Linked DNA regions of Nothobranchius furzeri. Each later gene encodes a partner of the first gene's protein in a complex. Links are inferred from orthologs where the notes say so. Each region holds a gene or a part of one and is shown on either strand. Other genes may lie near its edges. The genes, in order: arf2b and ap1b1.

What was found.
Region 2: the proteins of arf2b (region 1) and ap1b1 are in contact, whole or in part, in a cryo-EM structure (PDB 7R4H), measured with the Homo sapiens proteins. The link is inferred for Nothobranchius furzeri from reciprocal best matches to the Homo sapiens genes ARF1 and AP1B1. Residues at the interface, in NP_001019397.1 of Homo sapiens: Glu17, Met18, Tyr35, Ile46, Thr48, Ile49, Gly50, Phe51, Asn52, Val53, Glu54, Thr64, Trp66, Lys73, Leu77, Arg79, His80, Tyr81, Gln83, Asn84; in NP_001118.3 of Homo sapiens: Asn23, Asp25, Pro52, Asp53, Val55, Asn56, Met58, Gln59, Met83, Ile85, Met86, Ala87, Val88, Asn89, Thr90, Val92, Lys93, Tyr121.

What each region holds. Positions count from the first base shown.
Region 1 is NC_091756.1:54,219,097-54,229,278, forward strand, and holds the start of arf2b (ADP-ribosylation factor 2b), read left to right. Parts: upstream 1-5,330; 5' UTR 5,331-5,459; exon of another isoform or gene 5,460-5,493; intron 5,494-5,686; exon of another isoform or gene 5,687-5,731; intron 5,732-6,584; 5' UTR 6,585-6,594; coding exon 6,595-6,742; intron 6,743-7,683; coding exon 7,684-7,794; intron 7,795-10,182. Other genes in the region: mitogen-activated protein kinase kinase kinase 14, read left to right, coding at 1-64, 186-692, 910-1,016, 1,093-1,213, 1,286-1,386, 1,711-1,875. UniProt on the Homo sapiens protein: Small GTPase involved in protein trafficking between different compartments. Modulates vesicle budding and uncoating within the Golgi complex. In its GTP-bound form, triggers the recruitment of coatomer proteins to the Golgi membrane.
Region 2 is NC_091757.1:46,122,930-46,132,458, forward strand, and holds part of ap1b1 (AP-1 complex subunit beta-1), read left to right. Parts: intron 1-1,011; coding exon 1,012-1,041; intron 1,042-1,118; coding exon 1,119-1,256; intron 1,257-1,331; coding exon 1,332-1,477; intron 1,478-3,318; coding exon 3,319-3,448; intron 3,449-7,253; coding exon 7,254-7,338; intron 7,339-7,788; coding exon 7,789-7,875; intron 7,876-8,377; coding exon 8,378-8,532; intron 8,533-9,529. UniProt on the Homo sapiens protein: Subunit of clathrin-associated adaptor protein complex 1 that plays a role in protein sorting in the late-Golgi/trans-Golgi network (TGN) and/or endosomes.

The DNA.
Region 1 (10,182 bases):
AACCCAGACAGACGAGCATCAGCACAGAAGCTCAGGAGGAGGACCAGCAAAGCCCTCAGAGCAGGTGGGGACACAGACTCTCCTGTTAATCAAGTTTGTACATTTATAAAAGACATTAAAATGGACAACAGCCACGGAGGTGTTTGGCTCTGTCTGCATCCTTCATGTGCATGTTTTCCTCTTAGTTGGAGGTCTGAGTCCATCTTCCATCAAATCCACCTGTCAGAGGTTGTATGGATCACAGAAACACAGCTCTAGTGTCCCAGATAAACCAGCTGTCTCAACTCCAGATGTGTTCTGGGTCAGCCCCTGGAGAACCCAGGCAGTGGACCAGGACAGCGATGAGTGGGATGGTGACACCTCGGATCTGGAGTCTGAGATTGGCCCTTTAACCAAAGAATGGGACTCCTGTCCTAGATCACTGTGGGACCAAGTGGACTGGGAATCCGGTTCTGAATCAGATGTGGATATTTACATGGGAGAGGAGGAGAATGTTCAGGAGACCTGTCGGAAAACCGACAAAAACTATGAAGGAGACTGGGAGGAGGAGGAGGAGGATGAAGACTGTGACTCCTCTGCCTCCACAGAGTATCTCCATGCTCTCAGAGGTGTTTTCCCTTTGCTGCAGAAAGGTTTGCAGATGGATGATGTTTCATGGGGATCTGGGGCAGAGCTGGAAGGCCTCAGAGAAGGTGAGTTATAGAAACCCGGTGGATAATTGTTTTGGTTTTAGTTCGATAAACCCAAAACTGACATGAAAGGTTTTATCCATCTGTCCTTGAAGGGTTTAAGGAGCTTTTATGTCTTAAATCTCATCATGTAGACTTTAATCAGTCAGTGACGGTGAATGACGATTGTGAAGATGCCTTTGTTATAAATGTAATAAAGATGAAAACAACATGCCCTCAGATGTACCTGTAGGCACCATGTTCCCGACTCCGTCCCCAGAGCCTCGAGATGAGCCACCATCCTGTTTGAGCTGCTCTGACTCCTCACAAATCAACAAATCCGAGACGGTAAGGACAGGTGGAGTGAGAACAAGGCTGTGAGGATCTCAGCCCTCCTAATGTCACATTTCTGCTCCTCTTTAAGGACTCTGACCATTCCTCTGATGACCTCAGCTCTGGTGTCTTCTCTTCCTGCAACAGCCAAGCGGACACACGTGTGGAGTGGTTAATGTCAGCCAATCAGACGTCCTCTTGCTGCTTTGAGGGTAAAACCAGGAGTCCTTCTCAGTCCGCCTATCACAGAGGATATCAAATAAACATCTCATGGCCTTTTCCAGGTGTTGACATCTGGATCGAGAACACTCAGGGGGATTGTTTGAGGATCCGAGAACATCGCCGGGTCAAAGTGGGTCACGTTGCCATAGGAATCAGTGATCAGGTATGGAGGTGGGGTCAGTCACTATAGTGACCTGTGAGGAATTTGATGTGGTTTATTTTTTTGACAGTTATATTAGAAAATACTTGGAAATATCTGAAACGCCCCTTTAAATACTGATTTACTGACAACCTGCATTGTTCTGCCTCTATTTAAATGAGTTAACTGAAGAATGTCTGTTTTGACTCTTGGTGAAACTCGGTTTTAGATAATTCAGAACGTTTGATTAATAAGTACATCAGCCCTTGAGCCTACAGAGTTGGTTGCTCTGTGCTGATGGCACGTTTCAGTTTGATCTGATCCTAAATCCTCCCACCTGTCTCTCAGATGTCAGGGAAAGCCTTCAGTTTGGAGACTCTGGACAGGAAGACGGTGTCCTTCGACGAGCAGATAGAGGAGTCTGGTTCGTGGTTCCGTTGTGTTCCTGCTCCAGATAGATGTCAGCGCTGGAGGTGGAGGATCCGGGACGGCAGGCTGGAGCTCCGGGAATGAGACGGTTTCTGGTGCTGCTCATTTTAGAAGAAATCCTTCTTGAAACCATTGTTTTTTTTTTTTTGTTTTTTTGTTAGTTTGTTTTTCTTAAAGCCTGAAGCACATAAACGGACCAGATTCAGTGACAAACAGCAAACAACTCTCAGGATCAATATGTAGGGCTGGATTTTAAGGTTTATCCACAAGGAATTCTGCAGAAGGAGAAGGTAAACAGCAGAAATCCTCCGACGTGTTTCAGACACTGAGCTGCTGGCTGTTGAGGAGAAAACATTCCTCTGATTAGAGGACATCCAGCAGCTCTGGAGCGGCGCCTGTTTGAACAACCATCTGCTGACTCATCAGATCAGGCTTCACGTTTCCAAACTACAGCCTTGGATTTCTGGTCCTAACATGGATACAAAACCTGTTGTTTGTTTGGGAAACTGCTCACACTAGTTCAGCATTTTGAGCTGGTTTAGCGTTTCTAAAGCCTTTTTAGTAAATTCCAACTATTCTGACCTTTGACCTCTAACATTAACAGATATGCTGGAAGTCTGAGTCCTGGGGTCACTATCCAGCTTGTTTTGGTTGTTTTCCTGCCTAAAACACCTGATTTTAATCAGCAGCAGAGCAACCGGCGTCTTCAGAGCTTGATGAGTTGCTGAACAGGTGATTCAACCATTGAATCAAATGTGTTGGAGCAGGGAAACGGCTAAATCATACAAACTCAAAATATTGTATCGCCTTTTGTGGAATGTCAAAACGTTTTAGCTTTTTAAAAACTGCTAATTTTCCATCCTTCTACAAAAGAGAATCCTTAAAAGATAAATGGCCTGTGTTTAGCACCTTCTAGAGTCCTAATGCCCCCAATCACTTTACAACACAATCAATCATTCACCCATTCACACCCTTGTGGTGATGAGCTGCGTGTGTAGCCACAGCTGCCCTGGGGCACACTGACTGAGGAGATGCTGCCGAGCACAGACTCCACCAGTTCCTTCGACCACCACCATCAGCCAATGTGGGTGAAGTGCCTTGCCCAAGGACACAACGACAGCAGCAGACTAAGCTCAGATTGAACCTGCAAACTTCTGATTGCAAGGCAGTCACTTAACTCCTCTGCCACCATCGTTTTAAAGTCTTCTCATGTTCACTACTAAAAGTTAAAATGTTTGTGTATTCGGGTGTGTTTTAAGATTTATATTTCATGGGAAACTTTTAAAATCCTTAAATCTTGAGTATTTCTGGTTATTTATTACTCCATCCATTTTCTGAGCCCGCTTGTCCACGCAGGGTCACGGGGGGGGGGGGGGGGGGGGGGGGGGGGGGGCACTGGTGCCTACCTCCAGCGGTCAATGGCCAATCAGGCGGGGTACACCCTGGACAGAGAGCCAGTCCATCGCAGGGCAACACAGAGACACACACACCTAGGGACAGTTTAGACAGACCAATCAACCTAACAGTCATGTTTTTGGACTGTGGGAGGAAGCCGGAGTACCTGGCAAACTCCATGCAGAAAGACCCCAGGCTGGGAAGCGAACCCTGGACCTTCTTGCTGCAAGGCAACAGCTCTAACCACTGCTCCACTGCGCAGCCCTATTTATTACTCAATAAGAAAATCATTATCTAAAGGCCTTTGTGTTTTATAGATCCTTATTTTTGTCTCAGGCTTTCTATTTGTCAGAACATCCTATTGTGAATGTTTAAGCACTAGTACAGAAGTGAGTGACTTTGTAATTAAAGGTCTGTCTGTTAGAGTAATGTGAAGTTAACCATGTATGAACTCCAAGTTATGCAACCACTGTTCCCTGAAGAAGAGGAACGAGTGGTATATGGGACGTCACGCCACATGTGGCCTGGCTGAAGAAGGCAAATTACGCCAGGTTGTGGGCCTACCCAGGGTGGACTGGCCATCTGTGAGTTCTGGAGATATTCCAGGGTTGAATTTTCGTCCCAGTCAGCCCCTGGCTCCCCCCACCCCCAGATGAACCTTTAAAGTAGAGAAGGACAAACCCTTGTTCAGCAACTCCTGCAGAAACGTTAGCACATCCACAACAGAGCTCTACGAAGGAACCATGGTTCTGACCAGACTCCATTGCTCAAAATCCCTCCATTTATAAGCATAAAAGCCCGTATTAGAGTAAGCTCTCGAACTCTGAACTGTGGCTACCGCTGCTGGAGGAAGACCCCTAGCTAGTTTGAAGCTGCCATTCCCCCCCCCCCCCCCCCCCCCCCCAATAAAAAGCAAAATGCCATTTTAAGTTGTGGAAAGCAAAAGCTGTTTAGACCTAGAAACTATGACTGGTGTTCAGCAAGGGAACATGACCTAGGGATGAAAGCCAACAGGAGAGGTGAGAATAATTTAGCAGATTTGCCCATGCCACTTTAAAGATATGAGAAACGGAAGGAACCTGACCTTTTGACTGAGATTTTCATTTCCCGACTCCCATGGCAAGAGCAAATCTCGCTCAGAAAATCCTTCAACAGTATTTGGCCTGGAAAATTACTGTGGCCACCCTGAAACCAAGCCAGGTGTTGGGCCCGTGCGAATGCCTGATGGCTGGGCTTAGCATTCTGGTGTCATGGACTTGTCTACTTGTGGACCCACCACCTGCAAGAGGAGCATGATGGGTCTGTGTTGGCCAGACCGAGGTGGTAGCGCTAGCAGTTGGATCCTGAATGTTTGGAACATGGAATGACAAGGAAGGAGCTGGGACTTGTGGAAGAGATTGAGCAGTACTGGCTGGATATAGATGGACACGTTTCTACACAATAGCCTTAGCTCCTGGCGTTGAGCTCTCTTCATCACTGGAGAAAGGCGAAGACCCGATGCGGCTGGTGAACCTCAGACTGTCAACCTGTATGTTGAGGTTTACCCAAGAGAATGAAAGTTTCCTTATGTGCCCAAAAGCAGCTCAGAGTACCTACCCTTTCTGTGTTGAAAATGTCAGCTTGTTGTTTGCTGGCTCTCAAACAGAACAACAAAGAATCATTCATTCTTCCACTTACATGATTTGGACTATTTTTTGACATATATGAAATAAACATTGTACATACCGGTATTTCTCAAAGAATTTCCATTACAAGAAACTTACTAGGGTCTACTTACTAGGGTCTACTTACTAGGGTCTTCTAATGTCAGTTTGAGGTGTTTTATAGTATCTGTTGTGGAGACATTGTTTTTTACTTGATTTTGTTTTTGACATATTTAATTAGATATATGTTTATTACTGTGTAAAGGATTATTGGACTTAACCGTGTGAAATTATTGATGAAAGTTTAGCATTTATAAAAACCGGTATAACAGGTATATTTTGACTATATGTTACATTGGCCTGCCATAAACCTGATTAGAAACTTGAGGCCTGCCATACAACCTGATTAGAAACTTGACCAACTTGTCCGCCTCGCATCACTTCCTCGACATTTTGTGCACTTTTCACACGTCGATCCTCCGCCGCTGTGATTGCTTCGCCGATAGACGGGGGCGGGCTCTCACTTACACCATAGGCGCTATGATTGGCCATAACTTGATAGTGGGAAGCACTCGTAACGCCGGTGTCTCCCTGGTTGCGCAAGACGCCATTTTGGAGTGACAGTAAAAGGTAACGGAAAGATCGAGAAGCTGTGTCGTTAGAGGTAACAAACTTCAGAAACACGCTCATCTCTGTACCCTTAAATAGCCTAACGCGTGGTGGTTGTTACTATATTCAAATGACTCGGTTTGAGTGGCGTTTAACATTACGTGATGGTGTTCGCTTAGCAGTGACGCGGCAATTAGCTAATGGTAGCTAGCGCGCTACATCAGTTCCTGTAACTGGTGATCTAAGATCTGTTACGGCGATTTTTTTCAACGAGCTGAACATCAGTTCCACTGGTACTTGTCAATTATGTCAGCGTTACATTTCTTCATAATGTGTCGCTATGTGTTGTTTAAAACATTTGTTGGATGAATAGTTGTCCACAATCGGCTAGCTGAAGCATCCGCCCTTAGTGAAGCTAATAGCGCTTAGCTGAAGCTAACATCCAAAGCTACCCGTTGCGTTATAATTTGTAATACAGGATTTTTCTGTTATTATTTTTCTCTTAAACACTCATCAAACCTCTGTTAGATTAAGTTGGATTGGATGTCGAGCTGCTGTTTACTTTCACGCACAATAACACTTTGCCCAACCGGAGTTTCCCATCTGGAGCAGGCCTAATCAAGGGTTAGTTAGCTGTTAGGCTAATCCGGGTGAACGAGATGGTTGGATCAGGTGATCAAGTCTGATGAATTAAGATTAATTTTTCAGAGTTTTGTTTTCTTAAAAGTTAATTGAGGAACACATGGATTGAATATTTTAGTGTTTACCCAAAAGCTAAAACTCGAATATATTTAACGCGAACTCAACTTTTCTTTTTACCCTGACTCAGTTGAAAACGGTTCCTAGTTTCACCATTAACCTTTGTCTCCCAACTTCTATAGAACACATTTCTGTATGTACCTGTCATTTCCATATTGGCTGTATTGCCTTTTGTGAAATGCCTTCTGGAGTCTTTCTGTTTGACTTAAAACTTATGTTCCTAATGATGCTCCCTCTTCTGGTGCTGCAAAAAACTAACAGCCTTACATTTAAAGTGTTGTTTAGAATGTTGGATTGGATAATTAGATTTTATTTAAGATAAGTTTACTACATTTCATCCTTTTCTACCTATGTGTCACCCTGTTTAACAGTTTCCGTTTCTTACAGCTTTGTCACCATGGGGAATGTATTTGCAAGCTTATTCAAGGGCCTGTTTGGCAAAAAAGAGATGAGAATTCTGATGGTTGGGCTCGATGCTGCTGGGAAAACAACAATCTTGTATAAACTGAAGCTTGGAGAAATAGTCACCACCATTCCAACCATTGGTACGGATTTATTTATTCATGTCAGTAGTAGGGGTAGAGCATTATGTTGGGCTGTTATTTACCATTTTTATACATCAATAGATTTATATTTGTAAGGCCAATTTATAGTCAAGCACATCCTCTGGTAACATCTTTGTTCTTGCTGTGTAGTATTTCTAATTCCATGTTGTAGTTCTTTTTAAAACGCAGAGTAGTTTTGTGTTCCTGTTTTCCCGCTACGTTTCGTTTGCAGCTGCAAACTGCGTCGAAGTTTGCAGCCGCAAACGAAACGTAGCGGGAAAACAGGTAAACAAAACTACTCTGTGTTTAAAAAGAACTACAACATGGACAACCTCTGGTAGCTCGGTGCTGTTGCAGAATTTAATTTAAATGTATTTTTACATTTGCTGATAACATCAGCATAATATGTACTCTAAATTAACTTTATTTAGTTGTCTGACTTTAACACTGAACCATGCACAAAGTTGATATTTAACAGCTAGTTAAATTCAGTAAAATTAGATGGAAAATGTCTGGATATAGGCCATGAAAATGCCAATAAAAATCAGCAGTACGTGTCAGCTGTCGGCAGATCATGTCTCCTACATACTGGCATTGGTATCAGCAATAGAAAAACCATTATTGGTCAACCTCTTGTCAGTAGTGTTGGTTATTCTTCTTGTTGGAAGGCTGCTTATCTTCAGGCTTTTATGTTATAAGGATTATTTTTGTACCAAATATAATTTTAGATAATTGTGGACCAACTGATGAGTTAGAGTTTTTCAGAAGAATAACTGTCTTAAAATACCTGCACAGATTTTGGGTCATTTTTCTAATGTTCAACCTTCAGAGACGAATGTTAGCTCCTCAACCCTGTCTTGTCTGTACACACACTGTTGGTAAATTGTGAACACTTTTTAAAATTGTTGATGCCTCACCATCTTTCCTTCTCTGGTGTGCAGGCTTTAACGTTGAAACGGTAGAATACAAGAACATCAGCTTCACAGTTTGGGATGTGGGCGGTCAGGATAAAATCAGGCCGCTGTGGCGCCACTACTTCCAGAACACTCAAGGTGAGAGGGTGTACTATATTTCAGCTGGCTGTATGTTGCTGAGCATTACTGCCCATAGGTTGCTTCATTGGTGTGTGTATGAGTTTCAAACCAGTGACTCATGGAGCTTCATTCTGTTCTTGGCGTGAAGTGGGTCTCCTGTCCAGTGATGGCACTGATCAGAAAACAGCACTGTAGAGCAGAAATGCTTAGTTTTTCCTTCCAATTTTGTCAGCTGTGTGTGAGTGAGCTCTTTGTCTTGAGTGTAACGTTGAATATGTTGATGATGTCAAAAGTGTCACTTAAGAGAATGAGTTTCAAACAGATCGCAACGTTGAATTACAGCTCCGGTAATAATTTTATATGTAGACAGAAGATTTGGTCCTAATTCTGATTTCACCTGTTGAAAAGTTGCTGCTTGCTGCAGTCTTGTTAAGATAATAAATCGGAGGCAGGCTGTGGACGTGGCTGCCATGAAAAGACTGAGTCATGCATCTTTGTGTTTTTATCTGTTTTTGCTCTCAGCTGAAGGTCAACACAGCCAGCCAGCCGCTGGTACTTAAGCTGCATTAATGAGCTCCAGCTACTGTACAGGCCAAGCTTCCAATAAGACTTCCACTGGAGGGTTGAAATATTTGAACTCATTTTGAGGAAGTGTACAGGCCATGTAACATTTCCCAAACATAGTAACTAGGACAGGAAGTGATGTTGTCTAAGCTTGACAGAAACGTCAGCATCTGTGTAACACTTCTTACAATAATCAGAACTGTTTTTATTCATTTTTCCTCCCAACATAAAAACAGTTTAGCTGTATGTGTTTTGTCTTAATAGACTTTCTAGTACGTGATGTGATGTAACACACGTCTGTGCTGGGATAATCTGATACTGGGACTACATAGAGTCTGTGTTTAGGTTCACTCCCACCAGATCAGATTGTCTGTGATTAGGTTTGTTTACATTTAAAATCCTGAGATGTTTGGTTTTTAAAGAGCAAGTCACCCCTGCCAGAGTCTTACTCCACTCCCACTTCCTGTTTGAAAAATGCTGTTGCCTGGCAGACTGAAAGGGCGAAGCCGCTAACAAATACACACACACACACACGACACTGTGACCTCATAATGTACCAGCTGACATCATAGTATACTTCTTAGACTATAGCAATGGCAGATAAAATTTAAATGCAGTGCAGAGTTTTTACCTGACAACTGTGCAACAATGACAGTTTAGGCAGAATATTTAAATTTGAACTAAGATGCACTAAAGTGCCAAATTATTGACTGCATGCGTCTACAGCATGGTTAGACACTCATTTATATAGTTTATCGGCAAAAAAGAAGTGGATTTGGGGGTGACTTGCTCTTTAAAATCACATCCAGTTGAGGACGGAGTTAATTATGGGGCTGCAGCTATTGAATATTTAGTATTTGAATATTCTATTGAATCGTCCATCAATTCATTAAATATTTTAGTTGATGTTTCAAGTGAAATTAGATTGTAGGCTGCTGCTAAAATGATCCAAATAAAACAACAAAATGTAAAGGATCAGCAATACGAAATTGGTTTGTTTAGTTCCCTTGTTCCCAGCTGATTATATATTTCATTAAAACTTGAGGTTTATTATCACTCGTCCTAGTCTAAACCTATCTAAATTTATTCACATCTGATGAGCAGAAGTGAATTATTTCAGTAACATGTTCAGTAATAAGTTATTGGATATAATATTACATTTCTACTAGTAACAATGTAATGGTGGCATTAGCTTCTCGTGTGAAGTGTGATCTGTTATGTGCCATCTAATAATAAAGACAAGATGACAGCTTATCAAACAGCTTTTAATTAACTTTGTAACCTGTTAATACAAATGCTAGTCAGATGGAGGTACCTAAAAACCAAAAATAAATTGTACACCATAATGACTTGTGCTCACAAATGTATCCAGCTAAAATAGTCTTTATTTTTCTACTCAAGGCTCTTGTTCAGTCAGGAAAGTTAGCATTTAGACATGTTCTGAAGAAAGGCTTGCTCGTCTGAGAGCAGATGTTTCCAGCTGCAGAGAAGATGCGTTCCAATGAGGTGGAAGTGGCAGGAGTGCACAGAAAATATTTAGCCAGCTAAGCTTAGTGTGGATAAACAATCCTCGTTTTCACTCCATCTTCACTGGCGTGTTCTAATCTTCACTCGGGAAATGGCAGGACACACCTAGGTATGTCTCTGTTGAATGACTGGTCTACACATCAGCAGTCGGGGAGCAATTGACCGCTCTGAGGGTTTGCTTTACCTTAAAGGTAAAATATATAAAAGTTATTTTATTTACCAAAGTAATAAATCTGTTATGTCAAATAGGACTGCACAATATCGTACAAAAGTGTGATCTCAGTTCATACTTGTATGCAATTTCATTTCCAAATG
Region 2 (9,529 bases), on another chromosome or scaffold:
CGCCGTTGCTCATTTAGTGGCCGAGTCTCATTTGCCCGCTTCCTGCAACAGGGGAAAGGGAATTACCAAGAAACTATCTTTGTGGAGTTGAGGTAAATATGGTGTTAGCGCAGCGCTTTTTGTGCTTATTTGAGTAATAACTTTTCATGTGGTGATGGTGTGATGGCATTTCCTGTCATGTTTGTAAATATTACTGTACGTTGTGATTATTGCGTGGAAGTGAATCAATCTGATGAATTTTCACAAAATCATTCAGCCTTACTTGTCGTTACGTTGACGAACTCAAAGCGTCTGTTAAGTGGTGCCTATAAAAACGTGTTCTAAAGACCAGGAGAACGCAACTCCTACAGATTCTCGTAGAGTCTTGCACTCGCACAAGCCCGTGTGATACGATCAGCACAGCGTGGGCTCTTTATTCACTTACCCGTAGTTTCCATACACTATCATCTCATATTGTCGTGACATTTATCATGTTAAGTCTCACTCCATCTCTGTTGTCTTTGGATCGTTCATCTTCTGATCAGCTGCCCATTCCCCTGCGCTCGGACACTCGGTCACCTCAGGTTCCACATCAGTCCTCATCGTCCCCAGATTACAGCCCCACTGAGGTTGGTCCTGGAGGAGCACGCTGGACCAGTAAAGGCCAGCATCAGCCTAGAGCTCAACACCACTTGTCCCTCTGCTGTCCCATGTCCTCTCGGTAGCTTTGTGTTGCTCTGCTTGTTTTCCTGCTCCATCTAGTTAGGGTTCCAGTGTTCCGTCTCTCTTTAGGTTTGATCTTTGTTTTTAGTCTTTAAAACGCTAAAGACAAAGTTATCGAGCTGCATTTGAATGAAACCAATCACTTGGGTTTGTCTGCAGACATCTCCCTACTGTTATTTGTTACAGACCACCCCTCCTCTCATCCTCCTCCACCCCCTCAGAAGATCCTGTAGTTTTAACATCAACTTTTATTCATTTATGATGTTTTGTTCACAATGAGTTTTTCTTTTCCTTTCTCCTCGTGTTCAGCTTGGCGGAGACCTTGGAGGAAGCTCTGCTGTAAGTCGTTTTCTAGTTTTCTTAGGCCTTCATCGCTAATGCAATGCACCATTTCACGTGTTCTCTGTGACCCACAGATGGGAGCTGGTTTTGGTGCTGCTCCAGCCGCATCGCCAGCCTCGTTCAGCGCTCCTGTTAGCGGCGGCCTGGATGACCTGTTTGATCTTGGAGGTGGAGTTGGGATGCCCATGGGAGCCTACAACCCCCCCAAAACGGTGAGTCCATGTGCTGGAATGATTCCCTAAAGGAGTTCATCATGGGTGGCTTTTAAAACCAGCCTCTCTGTTTAGGTTTGGCTCCCAGCCATGAAGGGAAAGGGCCTGGAAATATCCGGCACTTTTGCCCGCCGGGCCGGAATCATCCAAATGGAGATGACCCTGATCAACAAAGCGATGAGCGTCATGACTGATTTTGCCATCCAGTTCAACAGAAACAGGTAGGAAGAGCTTTTATCTTACAGCTATTTTCATTTAAAGGGATACTTTGCAACTTGTTCATATTTTTAAATAATTTTCTTGAGCTAAAATGTGCTAAAATGACCCTTTAATGAAGTGTCACTCAGACCCCCACAGCCCTCTGGCCAGAATACCTCATTTGCAACTTTGGAGTGTCGGTCCGGTCTAGTGGACTTGGAAATGGAATAAAATGAGCTGACATATCTGGCACTACAGTCTGCTTCCAGCACGTTTCCTGCATGTTTTAGATCATGAGCACAGCTGATTTGTTTAATTTAGTGATGAATCACTCCTGTAGACACTAATGAGGGCTGGGAGACGTTTCAGCTGTTGGATTAAAGGGATATTATGGAAGTTTGACAGCCCAAACATGTATAGAAATAATACATTTCTTCTACATGCATTCTACTGCAATGCCCTGGTCCTGTAGAATGAGCCCTGGCATTTTTACTGTGATTGCCTGTTTTTCTGTAAGATCACAGAAAAAGAGAGATGCTCGGGTCGAGCAGGCTGCTTCATGCGCGTTCACGCTCAGGCATCGCCCGTAGCATTTGCTATCAGTAGCTTTAGCAGCAGAGAGTGAGGTAGTGCCACTTTGTCGCTGTTCCTAATGCCTAGTGACAAAGCTAGCTACATTTCTGAGGACGCTTAGCTACTTTCTGTAGAACTTTCTTCTAGATATTTCCTGCAAATTAGCAACAAAATAGCCATTTTCGTTTCGAACCGTTCTTTGGTTTGACGTTGTTTCAGGTGTCGTCAAGGATATAAAAGTTACAGAGAGTGTCAATGCTACTAGAGTGTAGCTCACCTTGTAAGATGTCTGACTCCCATGCAGAAGACCTGGGTCCGATTCTGGATGTGAACATAATTTATTTGGAGTTTCTTTTTTACATTAATGGTATATTTTTTTCCGTAAGATGCCCAAATTTTTATTTGAGACTCGCCGAACGGCATTGAATTCACAGATAAAAAAGATGTGGGTTCAACTTTCGTTTTGGAACAACTTTCCAAGCAAGGGAAGGGAATGATCTGAGCATGCAGGAGGACTGACCCATCATAAACCTTTGTCGGCTGTGCTGAAGAGAAAGGTACAGAACCAAATTATTTAAGCATGAAATTTTAGAGAGAAAGATCATAAATGTTAAGTGCTCGCCTCGCAATCGGAAGGTTGCAGGTTCGAGACCCGCTCAGTCTGTCGCTGTCGTTGTGTCCTTGGGCAAGACACTTAACCCACGTTGCCTGCTGGTGGTGGTCGGAGGGACCGGTGGCGCCAGTGCTCGGCAGCCTCGCCTCTGTCAGTGCGCCCCAGGGCAGCTGTGGCTACATTGTAGCTCATCCCCACCAGTGTGTGAATGTGTGTGTGAATGGGTGAATGACTGATTGTGTTGTAAAGCGCCTTGGGGGGTTCCAGGACTCTAGAAGGCGCTATATCAAATACAGGCCATTTACCATTTTACCATTTAATTAGCTGCGCGTTCTCCTGTCCCCCCCCCCCCCCCCCCCCCCACACACACACACACAGGACTGTCTCAGCTGTCATTTTTGTCAAGGAGTGTGCACGTACAGCATGCACGCCTCGTGCACGAGCCTACTATTGAAGCTGCCGTTACGCTTTTGGCCTGAGGGGGCAATCACGAGCATAAAAATTCAAAAGTCTGTAAAGTCCCTTTAAGGTGTAAAAATGTTGAACGCACAGCAAGGAGATGAGATTTGCTTTTGGTTCTACAAACGGGCACTAGGGGGTGCTAAAAGTGCCAACTGTCTAGTCACCATTTGAAAAACAGATTTTTGACCCTTTTATCCACTTTGTGTTTCTCTGCAGCTTTGGCATCGCTCCAGCTGGACCTCTCCAGGTTCTAACTCCTCTGAGCCCAAACCAGACCATTGAGGTGGCCCTTCCCCTGAATACTGTTGGACCCGTTATGAAGATGGATCCACTCAACAACCTGCAGGTGAATTATCCCCTCTGTGCTTGTGCCGCTTCTTGTACAAATCACTTTAGACGTTTTATGTTTAATCAGTTAATTTAATTTTGACTCCATAGTATCGCGACTTGGATAAATTACCGGATGTCGGTCTAAACCGGAGAAATGATGACTGATAGAGATTTGTTACGCAAGAGTGAGACTGTTGAGTCAGTGTCCTGAAAGTCTGCCAATCTGTAATGCACCTTTGCTCTTATACACCCATGCTGTGCTTAAATATGAAAAAGACAGACTGTTTCAAAAGGTTATTTGAAAAAAAAAAAAAAAAAAACAGCTGGTGTCTGTTTGGTTCTGGTCAGGGTGGTTCCTTTTAACTGGGCAGAATGGTGGACGGCTGCAGCTGTGGAGAGAAGATAAGAGTGAGGAGGGATGATGGAGGTTAGGACAGTCATTAGTCGACACATGGCTCCTTTGTCTAACTAGGCCTCAGTGGTGCTGCTAACCTTTCTACTCTGCTGCCTCCTGGCCCTGTTTTGATGGGACCAGCTGTCTGATTTGACAGGTTCCCAAATATGATTTGTTCTGCCGGTTCCTAGGTTTATCTATCACACGGAGCCATTAAGCCCTTTCATATTTGTTTAAAGAAATGTCAGAACAGTTTTTTTCATAGCTCTTCATCTTGGATAATCAAATCAGCAGGTTTAGGGGACACGATTCGGTGCCCTTGGTTGGCTGTTCAGCTGCCATTAATTCTTCTGCAAGGACACAGCAGATAAAATGCATCACAATTGTTCTGTGCTTACGTAAATGTAAACCCAAAACATCTGGATCTGGCTCATCTCAGATTCATCTTGACATGCCCAATAAATGTGCGTTAAACATCCAATGTGACTAATCAGCACATCATCACCAGCTGAACTGAACCAGTTGATCTCAACTCCTCATCATTTTAATTGGTTTGAAGCATCACAATCAGCTTTCTCGTTAAATGCATGACTGTTGCTGCTGATTAGCATTTATGATCTTTCTCTCTAAAATTTCATGCTTAATCACCATTTAATGATTTCCTTGTGGATTAGCCGGGTTAGCCGGAGCAGGTGCAACAGAAGACAGCCTACATTACTTATTCAGTCCTTCTGTTTATTATCTCTAGATTTTGTCATTGTTTTTGTTTTATTTATTTATTTGATCTACTGAATTTTAATATAATGTGCGGGCCTTTTTCAGCAATCAAAATATTCAAATAAAAACACACACTTGAGAACTTGGCTGCATCTAGTGGAGTGTGACATTTAAACATGGAAAAATATTCCAAATGAAGTATCCATTCTTTGCACTTGTATGAGGACCTCTTGGTCAGTGAAGGACACAGCGATGCTTTATTTCAGAGCTTTAATGTCTTGAAAGCTGAATGTCCGTTAGCAGTGCTGCACCTTTTAGCCGCCCAGGTTCACTGAGATACCCTTTTTTACTGGTTTTAAATACAATTGGCCACTCGAAGAAAACATGCAAGCTGAAGAAGGAAATGGTCTTCTACTCCTATCACCTGCATTAGCCGCAGGAACAAAATGGACGAGGGGATGCAAGGATTAGAAAATCCTGACAGATCTACGTCACACTGTAAATTAACATTCATGGACTCACCCACCTTGGCTCATGACGGGGAAGGCTGTTGGTTTAGCATCCAGGAAACCGCAGAGAACGTGTCTGCTAGTAGAAGCTAACTGTTAGCATTAGCAACTCTACCACACAGCAGAACTCCTTCATGCTTGTGTTGGTTAAAACATAGTTTTAAAGTCAGTGGTAGTGTTGCTGTTAGCCAATCAGAGATGAGATGTTCAAAAATCTGGATTAATAATGAGTAAGACTATAAATCCTTCCATTTTCTCCTCCGGCTAACTTCTAGTTCCTGAAACTGAAACACCAGAGCTTTTTTTTCCCCCACAGAGATCGACTCACAAGGCAATCATTTAAGTCGGAGACCATTTCAAATCTATTGACCTAACGAGTGAATGAGAGCTTTACAGCTTCTTGCATGGATGAATTATTTATGAGTCCTTCGTCTCCCATCCTTGGCTGAACTGCACTTCTTTATAAAGCAGGCTGATCCGTGTTGTCTGCTGCTTATTACAGATGTCTCCTTTAAACAAACATGTGCTCTCACGTCTTGTACCGAAGCCTCCAGGGCTCTAATGCTAACAGTCATCATTTACTAAGTCCTACTCTTCTGACCTCCACTTGTTTGTGTTTTATTTGAATCTCTTTTTGATGCTTTCAGAAAAAGCTTTTTATAGATGAATGAGTTTTGATATGTTTAGTCTGTAAAAACAAGTCTCTTGCCCGTCTTACTTTGAGAGGTGGTCTCTAATAAAGACACGTTAATTGGTAATTAACTTGCATTCAACAACCTGCAATGGTTTCTTTAAAAACCCGAACAGAGATTTCTGCTTTTAGAAGCAAAAAGAAGAATTAATTAACATTTTGGTTTGGTTTTAAATACCTGAAAGAAACAATCTGTGAAATAGACCGGGCTCCTCCGTACGAAAGGTTTGATTTATTGGGGCAGCAGTAGCTCAACAGGTTGAGCGGGTTGTCCAGTAATCGGAAAGTTGCAGGTTTGCGTACTCGGCAGCCTCTCTGTCAGCGCGCCCCAGGGCAGCTGTGGCTACATCGTAGCTCATCACCATCAGTGTGTGAATGTGTGTGTGAATGGATGAATGATACACTAGTGTAAAGCGCTTTGGAGTCCTTACTCTGAGGCGCTATACAAGTGCGGGTCATTATCATTTACTTGAGTTTATTCTTTCTAGCGTTCAGACAACCCTCGGATGGATTTAATTCTCTCATCAGAGCCTTGTTCGAGTAAATGAATCCATTATTTTTCACCTGTTGAATAAGCATGAAGCCAGATGAACGCCTGTGGCAGCTGGATCAGTGAAGTCCTCGGCACAGAAACCACGTAGCAGGACCGTTTTTCATCGTTTATTACTGATCCAGGATTTGCCTCATAGAGAAGCAAAACTCAGGTCACCAGAGGTCATTTTTAAAGGAATCTTCTCAGATTTATTAGAACAAAAGAGAAGAAGAAACAAATAAAGTGAATGAAAACGTTTTTGTTGACTCGGTTGTAAAGAGTTCAGAGCCCCTGACTAAAATAGCCAAAACTGGTGCTTAAATGCCAACAGATGGTCGGGTGATTAAATTTCTATCTGTTTAATCATAATCTGATGTTTAACATCTCATGTCAGAAATAAAGTCGTGGCAGATTTCAGCAGTCAGACGCGTCAGCAGGGAAATGACAGATAGTCGGTGTTAAGCGTGAGTTACCATGGAGATATAGACAAGAGTGGGACGCAACCTCTACTTCACATCAGCGGAGCGGGACAGTTTACCTGCGACAACAATGCTGTTGATCTTTTTATAGTTGGCTTTGTTCACCATGTTTGTGATGGAAACGATTTTCAAGTCTGAAATTAAAGATCCGGTGCAGTTTTCTTTATAAATGTGAAGTTATTTGGTCTGACAAGACCATCTAATTATGAAGTCACTTGATTATGAATCTGTAAAGCATCTTTTCGAATAAACTTCTGGAGATTTTCACAGCTTTGTTTTACTGCCAGTAAAAAAGTAACTTAAGCAGATGGATTTCAGATCATCTTTCTATTTTCTCTGAGATTTTGTTCACGTTGTGGCTGATTTTTAGTGAAACCCTAAAACAAACTCAGAATAATTGTCATTTCAAAGGGCTTAAAAACTGAGTATTAATTGACGTCATGTTGATTCCCCCCCCCCGTTGCCCCCTCCCCTCTTCCTGGATATAATCCCCCCACAGGTGGCTGTGAAGAACAACATTGACGTATTTTACTTCAGCTGCCAGTACCCCATCAGCGTGCTGTTCGTGGAGGACGGGAAGATGGGTGAGTGTTTCTTTGCTAAAGCACTTCACTCAAAAGCCTTGAAGCTTCGCTGACGTCAGAGACATGGAGTAATGAGTCGTCTCTGAAAGATTGATGCGTGCGCGGCTGTCCACCTGCTGGAGGACTCCGTCACTTCCCGTGGCAGGGCAGATTGTACTGCTGCCATTTTATTTTTAGTTTTTTGTGTTGCGGTTTGATTTGTTGGATGAAAATGTGCTGGCATTTCTTCCTGTAGAGTTTTGTGATGGGGCTAGCAGCGGGACGGCTGCCAGCAGCTGTGAGCTAATGCTTCAGAGGCTAAGTCACAGCAGGACACCTTTTGTCTGGAGAGAAACTACACTACTCGCACTATACTGGGGCGTTTTTCAACGCATCGTGGGATAAATAACCGAAAATGAATTGACCATGTGTATTTTATTGACTCATCCAGTGGCTTCTTTTTATCAACAGAGCGACAAGTTTTCCTCGCCACATGGAAGGACATTCCTAATGACAATGAGTCCCAGTTTCAGATCAAAGACTGCCATCTGAACTCGGGTAAGAAGTCTGATCGAAGAGCGGAAAACAAAAACGCATCACTGCCACTTTTGTTGGAAACTGCTCAGTTGGAGCCATGTTGATCTCAATTCTGATCCCTGCTAATGAAGCAAACTGCATTTGATGAGTGCTCATCAGCTGCAGCCACTATTTATGTGTCATAATTTAGTTTTACGGCTTAATGGAGAGTTACTCTTGACAGATTGAATTTCTTCTCTTTGAACAAAGATGCAGGATTTCACATCCTCATGGGGTACAGCAGCAAGACTGAGGCTGAGCAGAGACACTAATTCAAAATTAGTGACTGTATCTTTGTTTCTCAGACAACCTGCAGTAAAAAAATTTCGGGTCTGATAAGGGGGAAATAAATTCTTCAGGGTCTGCTGCATTTAGTAATTGTTTCTGCAGACGGCCACAGAGCTTGCCAGGAATCAGAGAGGGACTCTATGCACTGAAATAAAACCAAGCTGCCGGTTTAAACGTATAAATGTTCTGTTAACAGACGCAGCCTCCAGCAAACTTCAGGGTAGCAACATCTTCACCATAGCCAAACGGACCGTGGATGGACAGGACATGCTGTATCAGTCCATGAAACTCACCAACAGCATCTGGGTGCTGGCGGAGCTCAGGGTGCAGGCAGGAAACCCCACCTACACTGTGAGTATCCCATTGCTTCTAGTTGAGTCTGAGGTGATAGATGGTTACCTTCTGTATTCTAGGTGTTAGACACACTTTTTTAGAAACCTTTAACCACGAAAATTGAAATTATTCAGAGAAATGATTTCACTTTTTATAGTTTATTGAAAATATAATCAAGCATTTTAAGTATTTCTGCATAAGTTTTAGTTTATAAAGTTAATCCTATTGCGTCTAATCTTAAGGTGATCATATTTTTATTTTCATAAAAGAAGACATTTAATCTGCTCTGGGACCTGGCCTGCTGATGATGTCACTCTACGGCAACACCACTCAGAACTGTGTTCATTTTGATGGGAGCTTTTAATTTCGTTATTTTTATTTATTTATTTTTTTTATTTTAGTCATCCAATGTGTTTTTGTTTCAGTCTCAGGCGACTAAAGGAAAAAAAGGCACATTAATCTGACTATATATAACAAAAACATTGTTAGAAATACCAAAACACACATCAACAGTTGAAATTGTGTCTCTCTACATTAATAAAGCAAACAAGTCTTTATAATTATTAGAAATATTTGTTTAATTATTTAACCAGACAAAAAGCTGCATGGTGGCATGCTAAATAAAACAAAAGTGACTATGAATCACTTAAAACCAGACCACGGCTAGCTCCAGACTCATTAGTTCTTATCTCGTCCCACCTGTTCCATTTGGTGAGCGGCTCTTTTGTCCCGTCTTCTGTTTGGATTTTTGTCACTGATTATTTTTTTCTCATCTGTTTTTCGTTGATCAATTTAGTCGTTGATTTAGTCTCCCAAGTTTTTATTTTTTTCTGTTCTCATCCGCAAAAATATTTCCGAGGCAAAAAAATTGTGAAAATATTTTGTCAACTAAATGAAAACTGACTCGAACTAGGGGTGGGCAATATAAACGATATAAGGTAGAAACGATATAAAATTGGGTATTGATAGAGTTTTTGGCTATATCGCAATACCGCGATAACACATGACGTCACTA